Linked DNA regions of Styela clava. The protein of the gene in region 1 purifies or fractionates together with the protein of each later gene. This does not show direct contact. Links are inferred from orthologs where the notes say so. Each region holds a gene or a part of one and is shown in the gene's direction. Other genes may lie near its edges.

Region 1 (11,785 bases):
TTGGTGTTTATTCTCTCTACATCACAAATTTGTTATTGTACCCCCCAACTGACTATGTTATCCAAAAATTACGTCATGGAAACCAACGCCACCATATCGCGTTCAATCTTATATCGGAAAGCAGGATATTTTTTGTTTTTGTGCCAAATAAATTCCAATGCCAAACGGAATTTTCGTATTAATATTTTAGTATCAAATCATTTTATTATAAATAGATAGTTTTTAGTTTCCATGTTTTTGTTTATCGTTTTTTAATTTAATCCCATTCCCCCCAATAGTCTACATAATATGAATAGTAAAAATCAAAATAAAGAAAGCAGGAGAAGTTACCTTTAATTTAATCCCATTCCCCCCAATACATATGAATAGTGAAAATCAAAATAAGGAAAGCAGGAGAAGTTACCTTTAATTTAATTTAATCCCATTCCCCCCAACATATGAATAGTGAAAATCAAAATAAGAAAAGCAGGATAAGTTACCTTTAAACAGCGCTCCGTCTGTGCCTTGAGAGGATTTGCGTAAAAACTTACAAAGACTTCGTTCTGAATTCAGATTTCTGGATATTCCCAAACTTTGTCGTCGATGAGATTTAGTTATTCATCATAGGCTATAGGCTACAAGCATAGCCTACATTACAGAGTTTTTTCATCATTTTGTTTGTTTTTGTTTTGATTGTCGTAACTGTAATGTACGCATGAATGGCAATGTATTTTGTCGAACTTTGACCCTCATAATATAAGAATTTGTTGATTCAAATTAAAATGTTGACATGTTTTTACTAACAAAAAATAAATGAAAAAAAACTTAAAAATTCCATTTTGTTTTGAACTGTGGATATTCAAGCGCCTTCAATTGAAAAATAATGATAACTAATGTTATCCAACGCTTAGGTATTTATGCCTATTTGTGAGAAGAATCCTAGACTCCTCAATTTAAAAAAATACTTCACCCGACTGGAAGACGTTCACAGACTCGAATACTCAATAATATACAGAAAGTTAAAATGGAGAATTCTGCAGGGCAAGCAATACTTCTCAACAAGTTTAAAACATGGGAAATATCATGTGCCCGCCCACCTGCACAAACAGAAAAATAAATTACAAAAAACACAAACCTAGTTAAAACAAGGTTTGGGCCAGAAATAAGCAAACAAAACATAGTCGAATGTATAGGAACTTCCAGGCTGTTATACTTTTGAAACGCTTAAGCTGTTGCAATAATAATGACCATTTCATTGTGAATCGTATATAGCATTGGTTCTCAAACTGGGGTCCGCGGACGCTTAGGGTCGGCAAAGCGATTTCAGGGGGACCGCAGGACAATTTTGATTGATTTAAAGTAAAATTTGTGTTTCTCCAAAGCACGACACCGTCTACCGAACACATTATTACGTAATAAACGTGGCAACGTCAGTGAATCAGAGCGTATTGTTTATGAAGGCGTGTGCTTCTAATTGTAAATTTTCTCGGGGTAATTTAAAAAATGCCTCCCCCGTCACAAAAGGTAAATTTAGATATAACAATTAAGATGTCAAATTTAGTTTTGCTGTGATAAGGTCTGGAGAAGAAGAAAAACCATAGTGGCACCGTTCTATCCCGATGTCGCTAAGATGGCACAAAAGATGCTCATTCCATTTGCAACAACTTACGGATGTGAGGCAGCTTTCTCTACATTACACGCTATTAAAACAAAATGTAGGAACATAATGAACGTGAGACACAATATAAAGGTTGCATTGCCCGAAACAGAAACCAAGGCCAAGGTAAAAGAACTAGTGGGAGCCAAGCAGGGACACCCATCTCATTGAACTGTTTTATTGATATATCGCGTTGCTATTTGCTTTAGTTTTTTTCGTGAACCGCTAGTCATCAGAAAAATTGAAAGGGGGCCGTTATGCACATTTTTACCGCGCACATATACCAAGTTGCTATTTGCTTTAGTTTCTTTAGTGAACCGCTAGTCATCAGAAAAATTGAAAGTGGGCCGTTATGCACATTTTTTCAAAAAGTTCGAGAACCACTGGTATATAAGATAAGATAGGATTTACATAATCACCCCGGGGGAGAGAAAAGCCAATAGGACGGCTAAATCATATGGCGATTTTCCAGTTTCCGCCATAATCCTTTCCGCCCTCTTTTGGACGAATGGGCCAAAAATTATATTTTTGTTGAAAAAAGATCGCATGTACATTGATTTGTGAATATACCTTTAATACTGATTACTGAATACAGGTGTCGGTGGATTACAGGTGTCGCTGCTCGATAACCGACTTTGGATTTTCGCGTCACCTTTCACCATGAAATGTCATTTTCAACTTTTTTTAAGTTTATGTCCAGTGTGAGTGCACTTTCATTTCGGTGAAATATAAACTACTGACTGAATGAATACGGTTCGGCGATGTGGCGCATTGTGCTAAGCGTTAGGAATACGCTCGCCACCGCATCCCTGATTACCCTTCGTCGAATCCCATGCGGGGATGGTCATGTGCGTGAGGATTGCTTGACTCCTCGCCGCCGTATGGCGTAGGATGGTTTACGTAACCGCTGGTCGGTTACGGCTTCCTCTACCACCAAATCCATGCTTCCGAAAACAAATACCTTGCTAACTAACCCCATACCTGGACTCTGGACTGGTAACCGGACGAGAGACCGTGGTTTGTCATATGATTAAGCCGTCTTATCGGATTTCCTCTCTCCCGGGATAAATATGTAAATCCTATCCTATCCTGGTGAAAAATTCTGTTCACAAGTGAAAACATTTAGGTATAGTCACCTACTTTTCTGATTGACAAATCGCTATAAACACCACTCTCTCTCCGTGTGGGTGTGTCGAGGGCTGGTGTTCATTGGAGAACAAAACGTGTGTATCAGTGTTCAAAAATATGAAAAAACAGCACGCAACAACAAGTGTTCGGTATTCGAATACCGTATGCTATGCCGCTTCCGAATAAATAAGCCATAATTGTTGCTGTGCTTTATCCGTCATATTCAGATTCAAATACCATACAGGTACGGGTACGGTAACGGTACTTGTTGTTGCTGCACTGTTTTTTTAAACACTGATACCGGGATGTCATCTGATCATGTAGAGTGGGAGTGGTGACTCCTCTGCGGCCCATGGGCCGGGGCCACGGCCCATCGAATTGGGCTTCGGCCCATCTAGTTGTGTAAAGAAACTATTCCCTTGGCTAACACAGACAGTCCCCGAAATCATAATAGAACTATAATGTAAAAAATCTGAATTTTTTTTGTCCTAACCCTAACCTGGCACACATACTACAGGAGTATATATTTTTTTGGTTCGAATATTGACAATTTGGTAAAATTTGAAAATTTTGTCAAAATAATTGAATTTTTCCTGATGGGGCCACGGCCCATCAAGCTATGGGCCACGGCCCATGTGGCCCGATTAGACGGGCCGTGGCCCCGGCCCATGGGCCGTAGAGGAGTCACCGCTCCTGTAGATCATGTATGTGATCGTGTATACTATGTGACGATAAGGGTACGGTAAGGAACCAACTGACCTAAGGATAGGATTCAAGAGCAACTATTGATGTTGCCTTCAATTTTCACTGTCCATGTTGCTGATGGTCTGGCAGTTGTGTACTTTCTACGTTTCTATGACTATAACTAGGCTAACCATATTTCTGAAGCAAAAAAAAAGGGACGACGCGGATTGGACAAGCCAACCTCGGTTCGATTCCAGAGGCTTAGTAATAGTTTAAACGTTTCCAATACCATTGTGGATAGATTGGGTCTAGTATAGTTTAGTACCACAAGTACTTCCAGTGGGCGTACCATAACGATTTTTGCATATGTTATTCCTAACCCTCACCTGACTATTCCATCCAAAAATTACGTCATTACGACGTCACCATAGGGGTTGCCAAAGTATAATTACGATCGCCCGAAATGGCATCTGCGCCGCCGATAAGAACTTGCTAAAGCCGGCGATCTCTCTCCTATTGTGATCGTTGCGACTAGAAAACGAGAGAAATAGCTTGCTCGATTTCGGGTTATCGTCTGCGTGTTTTGGACGACCATCCGCATACTTCGGTGGGCCTTATTACGCCACTGTGACGTCAGAATGACGTAATTTTTCGGTGACGTAGTCAGGTGGGGGTTAGGATTGACATATGCAAAAATTGTTGAGCCAGGCCAACTAGAAGTGGATGTGGTACTAAACTATACCAGACCTGATAGATTATTAAGGGTATCAAAATGAGCTGTTAATCCTGTCAAAATATCCTCTATTGCTGTATTGGCCTGCACTTTGTTCAAATATTGGAAATTGTTCAGCTCCTTATAAAACTTGTACTTTGTTTCGGCATTTCGATGATTCAACGACAGCATGGTAGGGTATTAAATTAAGGCATGGTTCATACTTCATATCATAATTATGACATAACAATTTTACTCCCTATCTGAACTAGTGAAGTGAGACGTAAATCAGCTGCATCTGTTAAAAAAATATTTTGTAATAATATCAAATAGAAAAATTATTTATGACTGCCATACTGAAAACCGGGGCATTAGAGTCTATCGCCGAGACGGCGGAAAAATATGATATAACCGGGACTGTCCTGGCTAAACCAGGACGTACAGTAAGCCTAACTAGAACCATATTTTACCCTTTGGTGGTTTTCTTCACAGTTCAAAAATATACAGAAGTATTTGTCAGTAAATCAGTGTTAGCTTCTAACAGCTGTGCTGTAGGGAATGACAATGAAGCAGTAGCAAATTTGTGATAATATCTGTTAAATAGTAAATCATGTTCAGCCACCACGCATCATCTGGAAGTGTGTTCTCGGCCAACTCAATCTTGAGAAAACTTGTCAAACCCAGCAAGGTTCATGACGAGAGTGTCATTGAAATCATCGACAATGAAACTGAGCCTGGAAACATATTTTTGATCAATGCATTAGTAACCTGTGTTATGCCAGAAGAACACGGTGGATGCAATTATGGTGTGATATATTTTGACTTGAATCAACATTTTGATTTATTATCTTTGATTTCAATGATGGAAGAGCGTACAAATGCTGATGAATCTAAGCTAAAAGAATGGATAAGAAAGTTTTATATTGTAAGATGTGATTCTGTTGAACAATTGATAATCACACTCTATTCAATTGAACCTTTGATTGCAAACAGCAAAATACCTGTGAAATTGTTAATTCTTGATGGACTGTCTACATTTCATTGGAACGAGCAATGTGCTGGAGGTTTTTCTCAATATTTGAAAGAGCAAAATTATAGAAAACTGGTGAAAGCTTTAGACTTATTTCATAAAAAATATAACCTTTCTATTTTGGTTCGTACTCTTGAAATGTTTCCACCAATCACTGCAGAAAATGCTGACCAGGAATTTGACCTGAGAAACCTAAAATTATATGGTGATTTTTGGGAGAATTTTGTAACATATCGTTTTATTTTAAAATTCAAAAAATCATCAACCATCAGTAAGATTGATGATTTTAATCGGACAGATGTAGTTCTTAGTTGTTTTTCACCTAGCCATTATGATGTATCATTTTCTCTGAAAGGCAGTGTAGTGAAATAGTTACTACTCCTTTTTACTGGAATAATTGAGTTAATTTTTATCGGTTCCTGCTAATATTTTAGTACTAATTTTTTAATTACACATATATTAAAATGACAAAGTTTCATATGATACAGAGAAATATATTTTCTGTGGCAATTTTTTCCAAGCAAATATTTCAAGCATTGGTTGATATTTTATTAGAATTGAGTAACCTTGGAGTTGACATTTTCTCAATAACTTATCTCAGCTGATTTTTTGAGCTTGTTATTGCCTATACATACAGACATATGCTGCTATCCAATTAGCATAATGTATGTATGTATGTTTATTCGTCTTGTAAAAGCAATGAACAAAGTTAGAGTATTCAGGATATTTAAAGAGTTATTTAGTGATAAGTTTAGCCCTGTCATACAAGGAGACTCTGGTCTATTTTACTCTGCTGTGATGTTGCATTCTCTCGTTACAGTCTGACAGTGTGATCATTCTAGCTCACCGTACTCATTTTTGATGTGTGAGAAAAATTGAAAAAAACTTAGGTATAATTGTTTTAACACTACATAGGTTTAAACAGTTTTTATAATCTATAGATATTTATAGTAGCCTACTGATTTTGCAACAAAGACTAGGCCTGCATGAGCACCATGGCAATGGATGCATCAAAAACTTCAGAAGCAATGGATATTCTACTTGAAATATCAAAAATATTGGATACAAAGCTGGATGCTGAAACATTGAGCATTTGCGTAGAACTATGTGAACTTGGTATCAACCCTGAAGCACTTGCATCTGTCATCAAAGAAATAAAGTCACAAGCTGCTAATCTCAAGGATCAAGAGAGTTGATGGATTTGATACACAGGCAACCTTGGACAAAACAATAATTATTTCCGTTGATTTCATTTTTCTATATCCATTTTCATTGCATTTAATTTTAAACTTTCGGTTGGTGATTACAGCAATTTGTAAATGCTCTTCTGGAATAGAAATTGTCTTAAAATGCTATAAAATGCCTTTTTTCATAGTAGTTGAATATTATATGTTGAAAACTTTAGGAGAATATGTTTTTCTGTTCGTACGTACATTATCACATGATTTCTGTGATTTATTCGAAGTTGTCTGAGATATTTTTCTTTCTATATTTTTTTTTATTATTCTTCATTTTTTCTAGATTCTGATTAAAAAATGGCAATTGTCTGTAAGAATTGTTTTTGCCGAAAAGTTTTAACATGTCAAACAGGAAAAAAATCCAATTTCTGGAGATTTTCTGAAGTTTTAAGAAGATGTTCTTCCACACTTCCATTTTCATCAGATCGGGATCCTGCCCAATCTGAAGGTTTACCAATTCATAAATATATTGACAAAACACACAAGCGTGTAAATATGTTATTTGCATGTGGCTTGACAGCAACAGGTATTCTATATTTTTTGGCCTTTTAATTTACAACAAATTCTTTTTTTATGTTAATACATACGGTACTTGCTATCTTGATATATGATATAAGGACATATTTTTTGTTTACGATTCAATTTATAAAACAGGTATTCTAGAGATGTTTGTAAACAAACTTTTTTATAAGCTATAATTTGTGTGAATAGGCACATCCCTGTGCTCCTAAAAGAGGATCTTTGAATCTATAAAAACACAAGTACAAAGGTGTATATGTAGCTCGAAACTTTATCCACAATTCGTAAATTTATTCATTATAAATGTTTGCTAATTTTCGCATCTATTTTCATCATAACGGGACATATGGAGCTACAGTATCCTTCTTATTTATGGCACATGTATGGCATACATCCACTTATAAGCCACAACTCAACTTAAATGAAGGGATTTGTTTCCCAGATAACAATTCATTCAATGTTGATTTTCAGGTGCACTTGGATTAAGAGAAAAATCATCTAGAACTCAAAGTAGACGATATCCTATCAGACTTACAAATATTGGCAAATTAAAAATAACAAGTGTTGGTTGTGGATATGGTTATACAGTATTTGCAAGCAATAATAGAGTAAGGATTTCATTCTCGATTGAATAATATTACCAAATATGAGGTGACATCAATATATATCTAAAGTAACACAAATGTGTTGAAAATTGATTGATAGTTATTTGACTAAGGAATAATCAAGATTGAAACAAACAACATAACTTGGGAAATATATGTTGTTATAATCATGAATTGACATCGTTCAACCTGCTGCTCCAACATGATTTAGCCAATAAACTGATAGTCATGCTCACAAATAACTATTCCTTGAGTTTTCTTACGAATCACTGGTGCAAAGGCTAGGAATCTTGTTTTTAGAAAACTGCACAAAAAATGCATGCATAACATCTGACATAAAAAGATTGATTTTTCTGAATAGTAAGGTGAACAAATTCATATGGCTTTTACTATAGGATTTGATCAAGGTTTGGGGAAGTGGAATAAACACTCAATCACAACTTGGTTTTCACAGTAGTCAAAAAGGAGTCACGAAAGGGCGTCCTGCAGAATCTGGCCATTTCGATTATGTTATGGAAACAACAGCAATACCTATTCCATTTGATTCCTTCTCAAAAACGAAAGTTACCCAGGTAAACAATGACACCTTTTTCGTGAACACTGGTATCTTGTTTTTGTTGCTATATAATTCCATTATTTGTATTTTAATTCATTTCATATCTAGGTGTCCTGTGGTCGGGCTCACACTCTTTTATTAACTGATAATGAAGGTATATTTTCATTTGGATGTAATTCGTTTGGACAGTGTGGTAGAGAAATCATTGAAGGAGAAATATATCAAGGTAACATTTTTATATTTCTAAACATTATTTTTTACGTATTGATCTTTGCAGTTTGAAGAGTATTTACTAAGAAAATTTTTGTTTGCAATGCATTTCTTCACTTTTTGTAAAAAAAATTTCACCATAAACCGTTGCCAGTTGCCACTGCCCTTACATCCATTAGACCAGGGGTTCCCGAACTTTTGGTGTTAGAGCCAGGTTTGGAGCCAGTTAAGAGGTTGACTACAATTTACAAAGCCTCATAAATTTGACACATGACAAACATATTGATAATGTAGTGTCGAAATGTGGCAACAAGGCAGTAATTAAAACATGGCATTATCTATTGGGACCTAATAATGTCTTAGTTTGAATTACCGTAATACTACTGTTGTCAAAATTTATTAATGCCATTATTATTCTCTGGAAAGTTACGAAGTTAGTCAAATCAGTATTCTAATAAGTACACGGATAGTTTGCCGAGCCCTTAGGTTTCTCTTGTGGTGACCAGGGGCTCTGTATGGCGCACTTTGAGAACCAATGAAATTAGACCACGAGTATGTGTGTTACTACTCACTACAGAAATTGAGATGGAATAGATGTAAGATTGTTATTGAACAAATTCTTTGAGTTGCTTTTTCCAGGTAGCAGGAAGATCCAAATTCTTTGAGTTGCTTTTTCCAGGTAGCAGGAAGATCCATTGCATACCACATAATCACTTCTTATCACCAGTGACTCAAATTTCATGTGGAATGGACCACAGTTTATTTCTCACCAAATCAGGAGAAGTTTACGGATGTGGATGGGGTGCAGATGGACAAACTGGTCTTGGCTCATATGAGAAAACTGGAATACCAAAGTTGTTGAAAGGTGATTTGGAAGGTGTTAAAGTACAACAGGTATGTTTTGAAGTTTTTAAAAATTTCAAATATGGTGTTGCCTAATATTATATTAGTCAACCATCACATAATAAACAATGCATGCCATAGCCGCATGTTGCTGCAACCCGGTGGGAAAGTTTTTCTGCTTCATTTTTTCTTCAACCTAATAAATCTGCAACTTTTTCCGAGTGAGCCAGAGTGTTGCTCGGATAAAATCATTCTTAATTCATATGAAATTTTCATTCCACATTCCGGTGGAAGAGCCTACAGTATTATACAACTTGAATTTATGGGTGAGTACCGATTTGAGGTACGTGTTCCTTGAAGATAGAAAGTTTCAACAAAAATTCTGTTGTTGTTAATTTTCCCATTTTAAGACAAATGGCAGTGTGTTTGGCGGCAATAGGGTTCACCATATGATTATGCTGTCTTATCGGCTTTCCTCCAAGATGAATATGTATATCTCATCGTATCCTTGATAGATGCTTTCCTAACTTATAATAAACTATACAGGGCTGATAGGAATTAATTTAATAATGTATATTTATAGATTTCTACTTTTGCTGACATGAGTATGGCAGTTTGCGAAGATGGTCATTTATATGGATGGGGTAATTCTGAATATTATCAACTTGCATCCGTTACAGATGACACACAAGTTTGCACTCCAATCAGACTCCCATTCAAAAATATCGGTAAAATTGTTTCTGCAGCGGCTGGCGGTAGCATTTGCTGTGCACTAAATGAAGAGGGAGAGGTATTTGTTTGGGGATATGGAATTTTAGGGAAAGGTCCCGATTTGAAAGACTCGCGACACCCAGAAAAAATTCCCCAAACATTATTTGGAGAGTCTACTTTCAGTCCAAGTGTAAAAGTTACCAAAATCAAATGTGGAATGAATCATTTTGCTGCTGTTACAAATAATGGAGAACTTTTTACATGGGGAAAAAACAAATCTGGTTGCCTTGGTATTGGTGAATACAGGGACCAATATTTTCCATGGAAAGTCTTGGTGCCTGGAGAAGTTGTCGATGTGTTCTGTGGTGTTGATCATACCGTTATACTGTCAAAGTCTATGTTGTAATTCCTGAATTAATATTATATTTTATGGACGCATTTTCTTTGGTGTGGCAGGAAAGTTTCAGGTCGCTGGTAGATATATTTGTTATGAGAAAAATGATTTCAACAGCATTTGCATTAAAATATGATATAAAACTCTTAGTTTATTCGCTTTGAAGATCTTGGTTGTGCCTGCCTAAATGCTGGCGTCCAGTCCTGCGCCGTCTATATTTGATCAGTGGCAGAAGCATCAGAAGATTGCCATGAAAGTGTCCATGAATAAGATATTGTAATAATCTGTTATAATTAGGGCTGGGAATTTCAGGGAATACACTTTTACCGGGTAAAATTAACCGGTTAACCGCAACGTAACCTTTGACATAATAATTTATAATTTTAGCTAGTTACGTCACAACGGTTACAGAGCAATTTCGGGTGATCTTATCCCGCTATCGCTCAAAATTATTCACGAATCGTGATCGCTCTGCTACAAGAGATATGCAGCGTGATTCGGACATCTGAAAGTATTTTAATAAAACCCGAATCCATTATTAAATGTCATTTATGTGACAAATTTTCAGTGTTGGACGTGCAAATTATACTCTGAGATATCATAAAGAAAAACGGCATCTACTGCGAACTTGTTGAATGACATTGAATATACGATTTTGCAATAAAATCGGGAACAAAATATTTTCACCGAAAACTGAATTTATCATTGTCAAATTTTTATAATCAGCAATCTTAGTACTTATTGTTCACATTTATTGGGTCCTTACCAATACAGATAGTGTTATTCTTTAGAATTAAATGCCACAGGAGATAAATTTGCGATGACGTAATCATTTTTAAAAAAGTTGTACATTATAAAGATAATTTGTACCTAAGATGTCAGTTAACGGTTAGAATAAATTGTAACCGTTAACCATCTAAAATCGGTTAACCATTCCCAGCCCTAGTTAGAATATTCAGTTGAATTCGAAATATGGGAAATAAAACATGAAAACAAAGCGGCAGTGGTATACATTGTTTTTATTTGACTGCTGAGGCAACCTATGCGGTTCATAGGAATACAATACTGTGCAGAGATCAAATACATAACTGAAATAGGGGCTAGAAGTCTTATGAATATGGTATAAATAGCGTGCGCCTCTTATCTTATCGGCTTTCTACACGGAGGTTAAGTATGTGAATCCCAGTGTTATGTGCAAGTCTCATTCCCGCTTTTGAACAAATCAAGTAGTTTAATTCAATTATATGTGTGCCTAAATAAGTATTATAGTAATAATAAAGAACACTGGTAATACTGCAGCAAATACATAAAAGATCCATATGCAAATGTGCTGTGACTACGCTTGTTTGGTCAACTGAATTTATTCATATTTACTGGAAACGAATCAGATTATTTTCGGCTTTGAATTTTATTTCGTCTGTCCCAAATGTCTCAATGTACGGGCTATGAATAAGAAAACAATCGCAAGGAGTTATAATACACAGTTCGTATAAATTGAAAACAGAACGTGATGGTGAAT
Region 2 (11,953 bases), on another chromosome or scaffold:
TAGCATTTACTATTATTTTTAGACTACAACGCAGCCGTTGCAGAGCCACCCAATACAAAAACGAACGAAGAAGGAAAAATAACGCCAAGACCCGTCGTCAAATATCGTCCGCCATTTTTCAGACCAACTGCAGCTACTTTACCGCCGTTAATCCCAAGAAATGCTTCTCTCCCACGACTACCTGCCAGTTCTGGTGGCCTCAGCGGAGCAGCTGCATCATCCTTCGGATCTTCCGGAATCCTCCCCTCTGGCAGTGAGTTTGAATTTATCATATTTCGAAATAAATTTGGTAATTCTAGACGAAATAATTTTGCATGAAATATTCGATTAATTAAATGAAAAATGAATTTTTAGCGCTTTCAGAACATGGTGAAAATAGGCCTTAAACATAAGACGCCAAATGCCTTTTAAATCAAGTTTGATTTGGAATAACCAGTTAAATCCATTTTTCCTACCCTGTTATTTACTAAGGGCTATGACAAGATATAATACCAATAATTAGAACTAATTTATAATTTGCAAAACGCATGCATAATATATTTGTGTTGGTGTATTATTTCAGATTGAAAATAAAGAAACATTCCAGTCTTTTTGAAAATAGTAGGTCCAGAAATATCTGTGACTACTTTGCGTAGACTTGCATAGAATTGCTTAAAACGTCCTACACGAAGTGTGCATATTGATCGTTTTGTTATTGTGTTGTTGTTCTTATTCTAGTTGTTGACATTTTTCTTCTTAACGTTATGAAATAATTGTCTTTCTTTTCAAGTCCTGAACCAAATACCATAGGGCTCACAGGAAACTTGAAATGAATAGAAGTAATAGCTTTCTTGCGACAACAACCTAACAACAACATAATACACCAAACGATTCATCCATATGTATATTTCGTGTCCAATAAACTAAAATGGTATTATTACTAATCATGTATATATAGCGTGTATATATAAATAATTTCATAATCCGTTATTGTCATTTTTACCATGTAGACGTACCAGGAACGGTTGCACCACTAGGAAATTTACCACCGTTGAGGACAAGAGGGGGGGGATCATCAGGGTAGGTTTGACTTAAATTATTTTCAATACACAATCCTTATATTTAATCGCAGGACAAAAGTATTCCTTCTTCCCACATATAGCATAAGATTAAATTACTGCTTTGAATTACAGATATCTGTGCTATGTTATAGATGTAGGATAATTGTAAAATGAATTCATTTAGGAATTTGTTTTTACTATTGCCTATTATTTGGGAACTTTCTAAAATGCATAATAAAATAGTAACTGTTACAACCATTTCTTTATGCTATTTCAATTTTCCCATTTTCTTCATATTTTTTGTTATTTTATTCTCCTGTATTTTTAGCGGATCTGGTCTGCCGGCAAATTTCCCAAGAAACCATCCTTTGTTCACTGGTTCTAATGCGGGATCTGGAACTGGAGGTAATGCAGGATCGCCGAGGAGACAAGGTGCAGGTGCAGCAGCAGGAGGTTCTACTGCAGGCGGAGGCTCAAATGGACTTGGAGGATTAGCTGGAACTGGTGGTGGTGCCGTATCCGGAGGAACCGGTAATTCCGGTGCTGCTCCTGGCACTTCCGGAGGATCCGGTGGAACATTTGGATTGTGGCCTGTTTTAACTCAAAACGGTCCAGTATACATCCCAGTGCCAAATCCCCAACCTAATCTACCAGTGGCGCCAGTTGCAGCAAATTCGCCAGGTAGTGCTTTAGCTGGTGGAAACAACAACAACCCAATAGTTCCCGTCAGATCACCAAACAATCCCATTGTTCCGATAGGTGGAGGCACATCTGCAAACAATCGCATCGTTCCACTAGGTGGCGGCACATCTGCAAACAATCGCATCGTTCCACTAGGTGGCGGCACATCTTCAAACAATCCTGTTGTTCCACTAGGTGGTGGCACGTCTCCAAACAACCCAATTGTGCCTATTGGAGGTAGAAGTCCATTATTTAATCCAAATCCGTTGAGTTCAAATCGACCAATCGTACCACTCGGTGGCAGTAGCAGTAATTCTGCAGGAGTTGATGGGAACACCCCCATTTCAAATGAAATAATCCCCATTGGGGGGAGTTCAGACACCCCTCGACCACCAATGCAGCCTGTTTTTGAAGACGAAACCGAACCCCCCGAGTATGAGGATTATTACACAGACCCTAACGGACCATATGATGAATACTATAACCATGAAGAAACAATTGTTGGTGAGTGATTTCTAATCCCTTTATTTATTTTTGTAATTTTAAGTGAAATGACCAAGTTCAGAATATGTTGGAGCCACGGAAACATTTTGAGATGGCCCACAGGCCTATTAAAAATTGCTGATTTTATTTTTGTCACCATAGTTAATTTTGATTATAGTAACTGTTTTCTGCTACGGAATGTAATTTTCATTCTAATTATTAACGTAAAAGTGCCCATTATTGCACGAAGATTTAGTTTTTCCTTGTTGTTTCTCCTTTTCATAAAAAAAGATAATAGGCCACAAAATTTTTGTTGATCAAAACTGGGCCATGAAAGTAAACTGTTCTAAGCATTAGGAACGCGCTTGTCATCGCTCGTCATATGATTAAATCATTCTATCGGCTGTCTTTTCCTCAAATATAAAAATATGAATTGGATAGACCAATTCTATGATTATAATTTTCTTATTATAAATTCTGTATTTTTCAGAAGAGCCACCGAATCTCATCCTTTCCATAACTGAAGATTCCTATCGCTATCGGGAAGAAGCCGCAGACGCATGCGCGTTTGAGAATAAAATATTATGTAGTCTTCCACAATTGGAAGCAGCTAAGCAAGCTGGGCCAATACCTCTCATTGAATGGGGATGGTTTGGTATGGAAGGGAGAGCAGCCGGTATACATGACTGTTTGCCAGGTGAATGTAATTTTATTACTTATTTTTTTACAGAAAAAACGCATTGATGTGAAAATTATTGGGCTCAAAGCACTATTACCGCTGATTTTTTAAGAAAACAACGCTTTTTGGCTGATTGGGTTATTTTAGTTTCGGATTTTCGAGTTTAGAATTGTCGTTTATTGATTCAAGTACTTTTTGGGACGACGTACGTATGTAGGAGTTTTAATCTTTTGCCACTTTTTATGGTATCACGACCTCTATTCTAGCGACAGTTCGAAAACATTTAACATAGTGTTTGAATTATCGCTGAACGCGTATAGTGTTATGCTCTTACAACGAGATAGAAATGTCTAACTATGCAAATAAATATGATATTTAACATAAATTATTATTTTTTTCACAGGCGAAGTCAAATGGCAAGGTTATAAATGTCATAATGGTGTCGTTGGTCACACTCCAGTGCAGCTATCTACAGCATTGAAAGGATATTGTTGTTCAATCATGCGTGGCGCAAATGTCACAGATAGAAAATTCAGGTTAGAAAACTACCCTTCAGTATGTTAAATTCACTTTTGACCGTTTGGGTAAAGTTGAAGTGCTGTTATTGATTAAAATCACCGTTTTACTCGTATTATTTGACCTTCTTATACAGAATTAGATTTTTATCGATATACCATTGTAACATATATGCAATGTTTTACACTTGAAACGAACTCGGTCGAACCTATTTCCGATTGTAACGAAAATCAGATTCAGATATTTTATTTTTATCATGCAAAAATCAATGCAAGAAAAAAGTGTATAACAGAATTAGAAAAAAATGAAATTGAAAATTACTTCCAGCTGAATTGCGAAACTATAACATCTTTTTTTTTCTAGTAATTTCCTTTCACGATAACCGGTCGTGAGGCTTTTGTAACATAAAATCTCGATGTGAATCAATAATTCATACCTAATATTTCTTTTTTTTAGTAATTACCATTCTGCAAAAGAAGGTTGTGAGTCCCTCGATTCACATATTTGTACATTGGAGGAAATGTTTGATGTTTGGGAGAAGGTACGTAAAGTTTTCTTGCATATTTCAGAATAACATACTTTTTGGTTTCAAATAAAAAATAATATTATGTGCATATTTTTTACATAATAACCACTGGTACATTGACCCCAAATTACTTATCTACAGTCTCTGACACGGCGCCTAGTTAGCAACCTAAAAGTTAGGAGGAGCTGGCTCTGATGACCACATGGTCGTATTGCTCCTTCCAGTCTATACAAAAAAAAAAAAAACTTTGCGTATGTTATTGTATATCTTTTTATTGTTGCTTCTTTTTTCTGATTGACGAAATATGAGTCTATCTCTTTCCCTATCTCTGGTATTCTTATATATATATTTCAAATTATATTATCTGAAAAGTATAACAGGCTATGTATAATTCTAATTGCGTTTTTTTTTCTCAAATTTTAGTCGAGTTACAAGAGCGATACATGGGGATGGTACAACGATGATCAACACCTGATTAAAATGGTTCATACTTGTGATCCTAACCAAGTTAGATGGCCTGGATACGAATGCCTATCTCGAAAATTAGCCACGTCACAGATTGTCAGTTTTGTTCAAGAAAGCGCTTATTGTTGCAATGGCAACTCCGGTGATGTCATCAAATCAAAGTTTTCTGTACTCTCGATTGCGTTCATTTTGTATTATTTTACAGTCTTTTTAAATTGTGAATAAATAAAAACCTACTCTTTATCGTTTGACTGAAATATTTGAACCTGTTTCTGGATCAACTCGTCCGCTCGTCATTTTGAAACTAAGAATATCTAAAAATGCGCAAATATCAACTCGATTTGGTGAATACATGTGAACAGTTTTGGTCACACATTACAGAACTAATTAAATATTGAAGTAAAATAATTTTTAGTCTGTCTCTGTACTTTTTTCTAATTTTATGTTATTAATTCTATGAATTCTATTCTATTAATTCTATGTAAAAGCTTGTTTTAGCTAACTTATATTATGTACAATAAACTGATTTTTTTAAAACTTGTTTTTTTTCCAAAGTCTGTTTTGAAATCATATATATAAGATTTCAGCATCAGACATATTTTTTAGCACTTATGTATGAAAGCTTGCACAAGACATTTTTCCGATGACCAAGTTTAACCCTTTCCCCGTCAGCGCCATAAATTTCAGCCTTCGAAGACGTACGGATAGCTGAGCTGTTGACATTGGATTAGTGAAATCGTTGTCATATTTGTAAAAGAAAAAAAAAATTTCATGGTTCCAACTACGGTGGATTATTTGGATCTGAATATTGTAGACGCTCGGATAAGCACACAAGTGAATTATAGATTATTCTAAAATTAATGGGCCACGAAAAATGTGTTTCGACAAAGATACACACGTCCAACGTTCCCTCTAAGCTGGCCGAGAATCTCCGCGCAGTACTTTCGTTCTGCCGCGCACTGCATAAGTATTGACAACAAGACAAGCTAAATACATACTTCATATCGCGCGCAGACCTTTTTTTGGAGCTCACATGGCCTTCTATTCCGCGCAACTAAGCAAGCACTTAGACTTAGAAGGAACGTTGCACACGTCACTCATATGGTGCGGCCTGCCCAGGCCAAGGAAGTGGGAACTAACAACAATTCCAGCAATGAGCGTTCCAGGCAACTCCCCATCACCGTCTACGTTATATTGCCGCCCATATTGCAGACCTCCTACGGACATCGGAAGTACAAGTAAGCCAACATATGCATGGAAACTAGTTACAAGAAATTTTATTGAAAGAAAGAAGAAAAAACAAAAAATACTCAGAACTACTATTTGGGGCAATAATGGAAATAGGAATTTCAAAAATAGTTTCTATGTATTTGGTAGCTGGATAGCAGGCTCAACTCTTTCAATGTTATATGTTTTTTATCGTCTGACTCATGTATGTATAGCATGAATTCGTGTAAATATGCAGAGATTGTGTTATGTTAAAGTTAAAACAGATAAAATAGAATTAATATATATTGCTTGGTGGAGAAATATCACATGATTCAAATTATAGTTTAATTTTTTTTTAAATCAATTTGGGGGTAGCTGCACAAGTTTCAAGTAATTAATTAACTAGGATAATCTTTATGAGGAAGAGCCCCTACTACCAGTCATATTTTTGGAGTGACCTCGTGATAATTATTGAGTCATAAAAGTTCAAAAGAAACAATGAAAATCCTGATTCAATTCAATGAAGGATGACCTCAATTCACATATGATGTCATTATAGAGCAGATATTAAATGATGAAATATTTTAGAATGAAAATTCAACAATTACAAAAACTATCACAGGAAAATGCAGGAAAAATATTAAAATGCACTTTTTTACACAATTATTCAATGATTTTAGATATTTTTTTCTGATCGAACATTACCATATATTTATCATACTTTAGAAATATGATTTATATATGGTTTGTGTATTATCAGAAAAAGAACTCATATTGAAAATTGTTTCTCTACTTGTCCACTGTTGAAGTCAATTCTGTTCTCAGGCATCGAACAAGAGCGGGACCGAGGAGACCGCTTTCTGTGATAAAAAGTTAGAACAAGAGTTGAATTAGTTTAATTTGATCCGTCTATCTGTCTTAGACCATTTTTTCAGCAATTTTCTAGACTTTGAGCGTTAAATTTATATTAGCTCACCCTTACTGCGCTGACAGTGTCGGCTAGGGACGAAGGAATAACTCACATTTGGCTATAATAATTTGATATTTAGTATTATACCGAAGCGCCATTCTGCATACTTACTTCTTATCGCTATTTTACGATAAAATATTTCTTAATTGAAAGTGTTTACGTAAAAGAATCTATCAAATGTTTACCTTTGAGTTCCAAGAAAGATACAAACTCGTCAAGAAGTTCTTTGATGTTATCTTCACCAATGGCTAACGTGGGGTCTTCATCGGTAGCTCCTGAAAACGAGAACAACAAAATTTACTACCATTGCTCAAAAGTTATGACATAGGTTTATATCTTTGAAATTTTTCAGAATATTATACAGTAATCTTCTCGCGGATTTACCGACACAAAAGTGTGGTTCAGTTGCAATGACGTCATAATTCGCCAGTCACGGGTGTTGATCATGTTAGTCTTCGGCTTTTGAGCGTGGACTGTTACGTTCGTCGTCTGCGTATTTTCGTTTTCTAATCATCATTTTCAACTCAATACATAATGGGAAGGAATTTTATTCAAACCAAGCAAAGTGGACCAATGAGGTATTTCATTATAACATTTATACTATGTACCAATATTATCTATGCTCAGACATACCCACTACTGTACAGACATACGTCATAGTCACACGATAAGTAGCGCTATAACAAGTCTCTTGGCCAAACATTTCGAGTGCATCGTTTTACGAAATTTACCTCAATGTATCAATAATAACACATCTGGATAATGCAGTGCTCTCAAAATGGGGAACGTCTAATCTAAATGATGGTAATACATTTGCATGCTAGTTTTGTCTTTCCACCTATGGTATAGTTATCGATGAGCGTGTTGTTTACGGTATTCCTGCGCACCAATCAAACAGTTGTCAGATGATTGGTCGCACCAGCGCATCGTTTTGCATCTTTCATTGCGGCGTGTGGATCGTAGAATATTCGGCGCGTAAAGTAATTTTAAGTCGACTGCGTATGCTTAATTTTAAAGTTACAGATTGTGAGGAACGCGGGAGTCACAATGCTAGGCGTAAAACTGATTTTACTTTCCATTTCACAAGAATACTCTTCGTTACTTCTTAGTTTTATTGCGTTTTCACTTTTTCGTGCATGAATTATTTGAACAGAATGGGATCTGGAATCTACCAATCAAAATAACGCTATAAATACCCCTGGAATGATAAACAGGGAGGCCATGAGTGCCAAAAGCATCCTGAACGGGGCCACGACAAATGAAAGGTTGGGAATAGACTCTAGATATTTCTGAGCAATATCATCTTATATAAATTGACGATCGAAATATCACCAAAACCTCACAGCGCGGGTATTAAAATGCAATGATTGCCCAGAGTTAACGTTACAGCCACTGTCGCCTAATTTCAAAAATATCCGCCGTCGATTTATCGTTAACTGCGGACATGCACAGGCTCCATAACAGACATATGCAAACCATATTATGTTTACGATATTATTTTAGTTGCGGAATAAATTTATTGCAGTAGGTGTTATTTTAATTGACTCGAGGGTAATATTAATAATGCTAAAAAAATTGAATAAATTCACGCGGTTGATTGGTGCTAACGAGTATTGATTTTTAGAGAATCAATCCTTCTCCGAGATAATAATCTGAGATATTTTACAACCAAATTAAGGGTATTATAAAAAGTTGGTGAATTCACTAAAAATTTGCATAAAATGAATCATTTATATGTTAATGATGCGGAATCAGTTTGGCGCAGGAATTTGATGAACCAGATTAGAAGTCATGGTCCGCTATATGATTAAGCCGCCTCGCTGCTTTCCTCACCCTCGGGGGTGAATATGAAAATTTTATATTTAGTCTGAAAAATGAATTTTGATTCAGTAATTTCTCCAGAGCATTTCTGGTACTTTTGTTGAGGTTTTAGAATTAGTTTTATTTTTCAATGCTCAATCATGCGTTAATATTATTTTCTGTGGGATTAAACAGGTTTAATGTCAGTTTTGATGTTTTTTATTTTATTTAAAAAATTCAAACCTTACTGACCTTGTATTCCGTCTCTTTTTCCAAACAGCTTTTGAAGGGCATCTGTAACAATAAAACATGAAATGTAATCAGCAGAAATAATTTTGCTCCAATATGCCTATTTTTTAAAGGTAGTAATCAATAGAAACATAACAGTTGGGAAAGATTTTATTTAACAATATCGAAAATAGAAACAAAATCGAATATTTGGTACTCCTTTCTAAGAATTGTTTATGAGCTTATGACTGAATATTCAATAAAATCGAGAAAGATTTTTATAGGATGCATCACGTAAATGGCGATAGTTGTTTTATTTCCGTGAATTTTATTTAAATATAAATGCAAAATAATAATTTGGTATATAATGAGTCAAGCTTAGATGAAATATACACTATTGGTATACGTTATTTTCCTTTTTTGCTTGAAGAGAACTGGAAACGGTGTAATAACTTGTGAATGTAAATTCATGTAACAATTAAAGTCAGACGGCAATAATAGATGTGCTGTAAGTGTGTTGTTACTTCAGTCAACTTTACTCATTTTACCACTAGTCCGCTTATTGCAATCGTCATAAATTCGAAATGTGTTTTTTTTTTATTTAGTAACATTCACTTGTGTTATATTTTACTTTAGATTTATTCTAAGTGTGCTTTAGATTTAGGTTGCATAAACCCTTATATCGAGGTTTCCAATTCACTACACACGGTCACCAGCGACGGTCCTGGCGCTCGTCCATCCCCATTTTATTTACTTTTTAATAGCAGATAGTTGTTCAATTTGAGTTTAAATTGGATACGAAAAACAAGGATGTCAAGCTTAGATGAAATAATATACACCATTGTTAGACATTATTATTCTATGTTGCTTGAAGAGAACTGGAAACGGTGACTAGCGACGGTCCTAGCGCCCATTCACTCCCATTTTAATTATTTTTCAATTAGAGTGGATAAGGAGGTGATACTTGATTCCAATAATGCATTTGCATCCCCAATTATTTTGCTTTCGAAGAAATGTTCTGCTAAGTTTTCCATTAACAAGATTGTAATCCTGTAATTTGTGACAAAGAAGGCACTTAGATCATGAATAAATAATATTATTCTGTTTTAATGGCTGTATTTGCCTTTAAATAGTTATATTTAAAAAGAATCAAGCTAGAATTTTTGAAATTGTCATTCCAGATGTTTACAATTAACATATAGTTAATCCACTGTCTTGAAAATGTATTCTACAGAGATCATTTTCTTCCCCGAAAATCATTTACAGCAGCTCGGTTTTCCGTTGTTCTACCTCAAAATAGAACTTTATTAGAAAAAATGGTGCGTTACTGAATATAACTTTAAATTTGCGTCTTTAACAAATTTTTGAAATTTTTGGGATCTGATATTACGCGCTATCACTCCGCCGTATTCAAAATTTTTATTTTATTAATATCGAAGAAAAGAGATTTCGAGCGAAATTGAAAACATTTTCGTTCTAGATAAATAGTGACCATAATAAATAATCTTCGACTCACCAAGTCCAGCATTGTAGCCAATGCTATTCATGGTCCATCCTCCAGTTCCGCGGTAGGGTCGTTTGTTACTGCTTGGCTGTAAAAAAAAAAAATACAATCATTTAATTTTTTTCTTGAACAACATGAATTTTTGCAAAGCTTGAGGACATACATTTGAATTACCGCATTAAATTGATTTATCCCTAAAAGCATTGACAAAACTTTTCAAAAAATTTTCGTATTATGGATTTCATTTTCAAATAGGAGTTGCAAATATACAAAAACAATCAAAAAAATTTTTACGAGAATTTAAACTCCTTTAAGTTTTGAAAGAACTATATCAAATGTTACCAAATTCTCGCAGGTCACGTGCGTCAGAGTTTTATAATAATGTCCCAATCTTTTCAAGCCTACTCATGACCCTGTCTGAAAAATTTATTTTTTACTCTTTCCGTGAGCGTTATATATTTTATGCTTTAATGATCGAATTAGGCTTTCCTATTTACGAAATTGCGTAATATCAAATTCACCGCAGTTATGACAAGTTTTTAAGTGTGTTTGACCAAATGTTGAACTTTGACAATATTCTAAATTTTTCGTAATTGAACTGTAAGTAGATTTAGATTCATGACTTTCTTTAGTGCTATACACATATTGAGAGTTACATAGAAAACTGAATCTCTGTATCTGCTTGGAATCCCTAATTAGACGAACGAAATTGCAGGGAATTAGAACCAGTTTGAGCCCAATTTTATCTTCATGATTGTTGAAATTGGGCAGAATATTAAATTTCTCGAAGTGATTTTAGTCCCCTTATTTCTATTTTAAGGTTCGATCTCCGTCTCGGAATGACCAACCTAGAACGAGCACTTAGATATTGAACTGCACCAATGTCGGTTCATCTATGTTTTAAAATGGCCGTCATGTTATTCATTAAATTTTAAAGACGTTTTTATTGAAATGCAAAAAATTAAATTCAAATCTGGGCTATACGCCACAAGCAAATCAATTTCAAGATAATGAATATTGAGGAAATATATACTAAAATGTGTACATCTAAAATACTACTATAGTTTTGTTGGAATTAGTTTTCGATTTTTTTTGTCTATATCGGGTAAAAAAAGTCGATAAGACTATTAGCTGGTTTAAGATTACCTATACAGGGCGTCCAAAAAGGCGCCCGATTTAGCAGTGGTACCAATGAAAACTTTTTCTTTATTTATTCATAGTTCTTATTTTGCTCGCAGTGCTAATTTATCATACAATAAAATAGTTATTACCTCAAAATCGGGCAAAATTTTTAAATAGTTATTGCTGTGGGCGAAATTTTTTATATACTGTAATTTCTTAATTTTTCAGATAGGGCTCATTTGATATTTTAAAAGGTGCTTGAGGTGGAGAAAATAACTAATAAAAATTTCTGTCTTAGATTTCTGCAGCGCATTACGTAAATTTGTGTGAAATACAGAACATGGCGCCAAATGCTTCAACGATCGCTAATATTGTACTAAAATTTCGCTGGGCGAATCGATCTTGAGTTTTATGCCGCATTCTTACGCACGTCAGAGCACGACAAAGAATGGGTAATTGGGATGAATGTTTTTTGCAAATATTGCTATATTTGTGAAGCGGCACGAATCGGAGATAGGCGTATACCATAAAGCTTTATCAGTTGATAATTTCGGATTGACAAATTGGATTCATTAAAACTGTAGCGCGACATATTTGTGGACAAGGAAGAATTTGTCCTTTATGTTCATTATTTACTGTGCTACCTAATCTCAAACTGTATCTCTGTGCAGTGTAAAAAAGCTGGTCTTACCGGCTTGCGGATATGGTTATATAACGGATATTATACCAT

The links.
Region 2: the proteins of RCC1-like G exchanging factor-like protein (region 1) and pseudouridylate synthase TRUB2, mitochondrial-like purify together in Homo sapiens (affinity purification with mass spectrometry; 3 studies listed by BioGRID and IntAct, with this or other methods). This does not show direct contact. The link is inferred for Styela clava from reciprocal best matches to the Homo sapiens genes RCC1L and TRUB2.

What each region holds. Positions count from the first base shown.
Region 1 is NC_135256.1:22,136,383-22,148,167, forward strand, and holds RCC1-like G exchanging factor-like protein, read left to right. Parts: upstream 1-6,383; 5' UTR 6,384-6,725; coding exon 6,726-6,954; intron 6,955-7,418; coding exon 7,419-7,555; intron 7,556-7,947; coding exon 7,948-8,124; intron 8,125-8,216; coding exon 8,217-8,334; intron 8,335-8,997; coding exon 8,998-9,212; intron 9,213-9,744; coding exon 9,745-10,278; 3' UTR 10,279-10,412; downstream 10,413-11,785. Other genes in the region: DNA repair protein XRCC2-like, read left to right, coding at 4,771-5,562. UniProt on the Homo sapiens protein: Guanine nucleotide exchange factor (GEF) for mitochondrial dynamin-related GTPase OPA1. Activates OPA1, by exchanging bound GDP for free GTP, and drives OPA1 and MFN1-dependent mitochondrial fusion. Plays an essential role in mitochondrial ribosome biogenesis.
Region 2 is NC_135264.1:14,099,318-14,111,270, forward strand, and holds the start of pseudouridylate synthase TRUB2, mitochondrial-like, read left to right. Parts: upstream 1-6,937; 5' UTR 6,938-7,147; intron 7,148-8,621; coding exon of another isoform or gene 8,622-8,663; intron 8,664-10,113; coding exon of another isoform or gene 10,114-10,189; intron 10,190-11,953. Other genes in the region: uncharacterized protein LOC120333741, read left to right, coding at 23-253, 990-1,059, 1,369-2,225, 2,695-2,901, 3,287-3,419, 3,856-3,940, 4,349-4,615; galanin peptides-like, read right to left, coding at 6,389-6,459, 6,755-6,844, 8,622-8,663, 10,114-10,189. UniProt on the Homo sapiens protein: Minor enzyme contributing to the isomerization of uridine to pseudouridine (pseudouridylation) of specific mitochondrial mRNAs (mt-mRNAs) such as COXI and COXIII mt-mRNAs.